2 linked regions of the Struthio camelus genome follow. The protein of the gene in region 1 purifies or fractionates together with the protein of each later gene. This does not show direct contact. Links are inferred from orthologs where the notes say so. Each region holds a gene or a part of one and is shown in the gene's direction. Other genes may lie near its edges. The genes, in order: CHCHD4 and TIMM10.

Region 1 (3,914 bases):
AGCCTCTCCAGGAACCCTGGTTTGGACTCGCTTGTGATTTTGACATGTTCTTTTTTGCTGCCTGTGTCAGAGAACTGTTGGAGGCAAACCAAAAATGCAGTATTGCTACAAAAGGGCAAGGCGTTCTGTTTCAAAATAAGTCTTTCAGCTTTGTTAAAACTGCTACTCCGCAGCACAGCCCCTCTCTCCTCGGACATAAGCTTTTCCTCACTTGCAACTGTCTCGTCATACTTTCGATAGTGGAAATACAGTCAATAAATAAAGTCGATAGAACTAAATAAGCTTGGTAGAAAAAAAAATTGCTAATATACTGGCCCAACATTTGTTAAAGCTTCCTTCAGCCTGTCCCTCGGACTTCTCTGTTGCATACACGCCCCACAGCCAGGCCAGGAAAAAAATGAGCAATACTCCTGAATTCCAGAGCAGCTACAACACCGCTATAAATAACAAGCTACGTTTTACCTCACCAGAGGATAAGAGCCTACCGCCTTTAGAATAACTGCACCTCGGGCCACAAAAGGAGAGCTAGCTTAACACAAAAGTGTTGTTCCTGTCCTAGAGGGTGCTGCGTTAAAGCGCATGGGTTTCTATACGCGTGTATTTTGGAAAGGGGCAATAACCGAGAAGCAACTGGGGAGCAGCACACGCAGCTCAGGGCGGCGGGGAGGCCCACAGGCCTCGCTCGGGGAAGCCCCCGGCGGCTTCGCACCAGCCCCACCGCCGGCCCCAGGCCCCTCTCCGCGGCCGGGTCCCCCGGGGGAAACCGCCACCCATCAGCGCTCACTCACGTTCCTCGACATCTTCTTCGTCTTCCCCTCGCCGGGTCCCGCCTCAGAGAAGCGGCAGAAAAGCGCCGCCCGCCGCCGCGCCGCCGCCGCAGGGTCTGCTGGGACACGTAGTTCCCAAACGCCGCAGGGCACGCTGGGAAACAGAGTCCTCCCGGCTGGCGCGCGGCAGGCCGGGATACGTAGTCAGAACCCGCTCGTTCCCTTCCCGCCTCGGCGCTCGGGAGGAGGGGCGCCCGCGGCCGCCGGAGGGCAGGGAAGGCGCTTCCGGAGGCGGGAGGTCACAGCGTGGAGCCGCGCGCCGCTGCCCGTTGCTGTGGTGGTAGCGGGAACGGGACGCCGGCGGGGTCAGTCTGCGCGCGCGCCGAGAGGGAAGCTACCGCACCGCCCCGCACCGCCATGTCGTACTGCAGGCAAGAAGGTGCGGGCCGCGCCGGGGCGTCCTCCCAATGTCACCGCCGGGGTCAGGCCGGGCGGGTTCGCCCTGAGGCGGCGGCAGCAGCGGCAAGGGGAGGGGGCCTGTGATGGGGCAACGCGCAGCCGCCCGCCGCTGCCCGTGAGGGAAGGGCGCAGCCTGAGGCGGCAGGAGGCGAGAAAGCCGCCCGGGGGCTGTGTGTGGCGTTGGCCCGGCCCTGCCCGCCTTCCGCCGACCTTTCTCCTCACGGCGGGCGGTGGCCGCGGGGCAGCGCGGCCGCTGGGGGCCCCGCGGGGTGAGGCGGAGCGGGGCCGCGGGCGCGTTGGGAAAAGGCCGCCCCGCAGGCGGCGGTTGGCGGCGGCCGGAGCAGAGCGTGTGCGCGCCTCGGGCCCCGCTCTTAGCTCGCGGGGCGCGGCCGTGAGGCGGCGGAGGCGTGCGCGCTCCCCTGGGGAGCGGTGGCTTCCAGCAGAGGTTAACCTTCTGCAAGCTTTAATAGCCGGAGTTTGCTGCCTTATTAAAAAGCCCAGTAGATGAGCAGCGTGGTGTGTGAGGCTTGATGCTTTTGTGCCTGTGCAAGGTGTTGTGTTGCACGGGTCATGTTATTTATTAGGCTTGGCCAGCTGATGCCCTGAGGGGGGGGGGGGTTCTCCTTTGACTAATGTCAAATGACTAAATGTAAAATTTCAAACTGGTAAAATCCGTTCTCTAGTTCGAAATGCCATTTTGAAATGGCAAACTTTGACACACTGAATGCTGACCATGTATGGTTGTAAAGTAATTATAACCTGTGCCACTCTTTGTTTTGTTTTACTGTTTATTTTAATAACATCTTGGGCCTTTGCAAGGACCCTCTGTAAGTTCTCTTATAGTATTCTACAAAATTACAACAATTATAGTGACGGGGTTAGAGTTTATATCTTTCTAGTTCCTTTTATTTAAGAAATCACTGAATATTCTGCGTTGTAAAGTCTGCTGGAGTACAATACACAGTTGACCAAAAAAAACCTTCCCCCCCCTTTTTTTTAGGCTATTTAGATTGATCTGCTTTTAAAAACATTAAAATGTGTACTGATTACAAAGCAAACTAAAGGGAGTGTTTGAACATCTGCTGGTTGAGGTAATGTTGACAGGCAAGAAGATCCTAACTTCTAATATACTGAGTCACTGCAGCGGCCTTTCAGAATTTGGAGAATGAAAGGAAGATCTTGGGGAACTTACCATTTTCTTTCTACTCAATGAATAATCAGTTGTGCGTTCAGAAGAGTTTCAGCGAGATGCTCTTTTCTGGTTGTGTGTTACATTTTTCTTTTTGAGCTAGCCTTTAGAAGATTTCCCTGTAGTCTTACAGGGTTGTTAGGAAACTCTTCCCTGGCTTTCAGCTAAATCTTTTTTTCCTACAGAACTTCTTTGTTCAATAAAGGGTGGCATGAGAGCAGGAAATACACTGCGCTGTTTTTCTGTCTTTGATAATGTTCACAGTACCTTTCAATATAATTGGTTCTGCACTTAGGGACTTCATTCTTTATTCCAGATCACTATTATAAAATATTACACCAGGTAATTCCACCAGTCTAAAGGTAGACTACTGTTCTTAAGGAATATCCTACTGAACGCTTTCCTAGTCCATGTAAGAGAGTAGTTGTCTGAGCTTGTTTTGAAACAGCTTTTTAACTTCACTGTTCAATGAACTGTTCTGTGATCTGCAGCTATTACAGTATGTTGCTGTGAAAATTAGAACTTTAGAGCAATAAAATTTCAGTTAGCTTCTATATTTTTGGCAAGTAAATGGATGATTTGTTATAATATATTCTAAGACTATTAAAATAGTTTTAAAGCACTCATTTAATCTTTTTTTTTTGTACCCTTTTCTGTGTACCAAGAGTGAGGCTGCTACTTTCATAGTTTTCTTCTGTGCATTTAGTGTTTGTGGCTTCATATTTAGTTAGCATTGCTTAAGAAATCTAATTTTGGGCTGTTTGCTCCCAGCACCTGTCATTGCACTATGTTGGCCCCACTGTCCTAACTACTTTAGGTCAGGAGGGTTTAAAATTCAAAATACTATGAGGTGTCTCTCAAATGCTGCCACAACTCAAAAATGGTATGCAGTCCTTTCCTACTACTGTGAGTCCTGATAGCAGATTATGGTCTCCCATTGAAATGAGTACTTGTTTTATCTTGCATGTTGTTTAATGAGAACTTGTCCCCATCTCCCTCGACATCTAGTTGTAATGCCTAACTGAAACATTTATCATAAATCACTCTACTGAGTTATGTCTTTTTTTCTGTTCCTATTGGCTACTGAGAATAATTTCCTACAGGTATGTGAGTATGGTACAAAGAGGATAAACAGGATCTGTTTATCTTATTGTTTTCCTTATAGAAGAATTATTACCTAATCTTTTTGAACTTCTGTTGATGTTTTTTATAGGTCTTATTTCTAAGTCTCTTACAAGTTTTAGCAGCATTCCTGTCAATACTTGTCGAATTGTCATTCTGTATGTGGTCCTCTGAACCAACAACTGTTTTAGTTGATGGCAATTGATAAGTTAAATAGTGTTCATTAGCTATTAACACGTGATGTTCAGCAGCTTTGTAAGTGACTTGTTGTGCCTTGGCTTTCTCTGAACTTTTACTTGTTTTCTTTTAAATGGTAGGAAAAGACAGAATTATATTTGTGACCAAAGAGGACCATGAGACACCAAGCAGTGCTGAGC
Region 2 (2,865 bases), on another chromosome or scaffold:
CCATGGGGACAAGGGGGGACAGGGACCCCCCCCCAGGGCCATGGGGACATGGCGGACATGGGGGGACAGGGACCCCCCCCAGGGCCATGGGGACAAGGGGGGACAGGGAACTCCCCACAGGGCCATGGGGACAAGGGGGGACAGGGAACTCCCCCCAGGGCCATGGGGACATGGGGGACATGGGGGGACAGGGACCCCCCCCAGGGCCATGGGGACAAGGGGGGACAGGGACCCCCCCCAGGGCCATGGGGACATGGCGGACATGGGGGGACAGGGAACTCCCCACAGGGCCATGGGGACATGGGGGGACAGGGACCCCCCCCCCAGGGCCATGGGGACAAGGGGGGACAGGGAACTCCCCCCAGGGCCATGGGGACATGGCGGACATGGGGGGACAGGGAACTCCCCACAGGGCCATGGGGACAAGGGGGAACAGGGACCCCCCCAGGGCCATGGGGACATGGCGGACATGGGGGGACAGGGACCTCCCCCCAGGGCCATGGGGACACACGGGGATGGGGGGTACAGGAACCCCCCCCCTGCAAGGCCATGGGGACTCGGGGGGACAGGGGAGGACAGGGAACCCCCCCACAGGGTCATAGGGACATGGGGGACATGGGAGGGACAGGGACACCCCCATAGAGCCATGCAGAAGGGGGGACATGAGGGGACCCCCCATGGGGCCGTGGGGACGCAAGGGGACGGGGGGGGACTGAGACCCCCCACAGGACCGTGGGGACACAGAGGGGACGGGGGGGGACTGAGACCCCCCCCCACGGGGCCGGGGGGGGCCGGGGCTCCCCGGACAGGCCCACGGGGCCGGGAGGACTCCGCGGAGGGGGCGGGGCCCAGCCGCGAGGGGGCGGGGCGCGCCTTCGCCAATCCCGCCCGCTGCTGCTCTGGCTCCGCCCCCTTCGGCGGGCAGCGCGAGCGTCCTCTCTATCCGCCGCCCTCACCGTCCCCCCCCCCCCGCCCCGCAACCCCGCTCCCTCTCTATGGCTGCCCCGCGCCGTCCCGCCCCCTCCTCCCGGCCCGCCCTATCCGCGTTGGGGGCTGAGCCCCTGCCCTCTCCGCGCCTGGCTCCTATTGGCTCCGCCGCGAGGCGGGGCGGTCCCGTGCCGGGGCGGAAGCGCGCGCGCGCGCCCCCACGTGGTTCCGGCCGGCAGCCGCCGCCGCCGCGGGGTGGTCGTGCCCGTGCCCGTGCCCGGCGCCATGGACCCGATGCGGGCCCAGCAGCTGGCGGCCGAGCTGGAGGTGGACATGATGGCCGACATGTACAACCGGTGGGGACCAGCGGGGCACTGGGCGGCGCTGGGGGACAGGGGGAGGAGCCCGGGGCTGGGGGGGCGTTGGGGGGTGCTGGGGGGCACGGGGGGTATTGGGGGGCTGGGGGTGGCTGGGGGAATGGGGGGCGCTAGGGGGCACGGGGGGCATTGGGCTGGGGGGTGCTGGGTGCTGTGGGACATTGGGGGTGCTGGGGGGCATGGGGGGTGTTGGGGAACATTGGGGGTGCTGGGGGGCATTGGGGGGCTGGGGGGTGCTGGGTGCTGTGGGACATTGGGGGTGCTGGGGGGCATGGGGGGGCTGGGGGGTGCTGGGTGCTGTGGGACGTTGGGGGGTGCTGGGGGGCATGGGGGGTGCCGAGGGCTGTGGGACACTGGGGGGTGTTGGGGTGCTGTGGGACATTGGGGGGGGTATGGGGGGCATTGGGGTGCTAGGGGGCACGGGGGGTGCTGGGGGGCATTGGGGGTGCCGTGGAACATTGAGGGGTGCTGGGGGGCATGGGGGACACTGGGGGGCATTGGAGGGTACTGGGGGGCACGGGAGGTGCTGAGGGCTGTGGGACATTGGGAGGTACTTTAGGGGGTGCCGGGAGGCGCTGGGGGCTCGGGGGACGCCCGGGTGACGGGTGCCGGCGCAGGATGACCCACGCGTGCCACCGGAAGTGCGTGCCCCCCCACTACAAGGACGCCGAGCTGTCCAAGGGCGAGAGCGTGTGCCTGGACCGCTGCGTGGCCAAGTACCTCGACGTCCACGAGAGGATGGGCAAGAAGCTGACGGAGCTGTCGCTGCAGGACGAGGAGCTCCTCAAGCGCATGCAGCAGGGCTCCGGCACCGCCTGAGCCGCCGGTGGGACACCCGCCCGGGACACCCTCTCCCCGCCACCCCAATAAACCCAGGTGTTTCGGAGCACCCTCGGCTCGCCGCGGCGTCACTCCGGGACGCGGGTACCACTGCAGGGCAGCGAGGCTCGGAGCCGGGGCGGCGGCGGGGGGATTCGCTTGTGGCTCGCAGGGGGTCGTGCGCACCCCAGCCGGGGGGGTGGCAGGGGAAGAGGTCTTTTCCTCGACCCCCTGAATCGGGATGAGCGGTGGTGCTGCCCTGGCTGTCCCCTGCTGTCCCCTGCTGTGTCCTTGCAGGGTGCACCCCTGGGTGCCCCCGCCCCGCCCCGGGCCCAGCCCTTATAATCCCCGGGATTAGGCAGAGCTGGCCTGAGCCCCATAATCCCCCGTAGGGTGGGCGCAGGGCGCTGTCTGAGCCGGCCCCGCTGGCCTGCAGGGACAGCCGGAGAGAGACACCCCCTGGGGACACCTGCGGGGACAGGCGCAGGGACAGCCGGAGAGAGACACCCCCTGGGGACACCCGGAAAGAGACACCACCCAGGGACACCTGCACAGAAGCAGCCCAGAGGTGCGTGTGTGCACACACACCGGGGGACACAGGCAGGGACACCCCCAGGGACAGCCAGAGAGAGACAGCCCAGGGACACCCCCATGGGGACACCTGCACGAAGGCACCCTGGAGACACACGCGTGCACCAGAGACAGCCGGAGAGAGACACCCCAGAGACACAGGCATAAGGGA

Evidence for each region.
Region 2: the proteins of CHCHD4 (region 1) and TIMM10 purify together in Homo sapiens (co-immunoprecipitation; 4 studies listed by BioGRID and IntAct, with this or other methods). This does not show direct contact. The link is inferred for Struthio camelus from reciprocal best matches to the Homo sapiens genes CHCHD4 and TIMM10.

What each region holds. Positions count from the first base shown.
Region 1 is NC_090955.1:9,006,096-9,010,009, reverse strand, and holds the start of CHCHD4 (mitochondrial intermembrane space import and assembly protein 40), read left to right. Parts: upstream 1-940; 5' UTR 941-1,184; coding exon 1,185-1,206; intron 1,207-3,854; coding exon 3,855-3,914. Other genes in the region: TMEM43 (transmembrane protein 43), read right to left, coding at 1-74, 789-800.
Region 2 is NC_090946.1:7,520,025-7,522,889, forward strand, and holds TIMM10 (mitochondrial import inner membrane translocase subunit Tim10), read left to right. Parts: upstream 1-1,105; 5' UTR 1,106-1,212; coding exon 1,213-1,283; intron 1,284-1,921; coding exon 1,922-2,123; 3' UTR 2,124-2,193; downstream 2,194-2,865.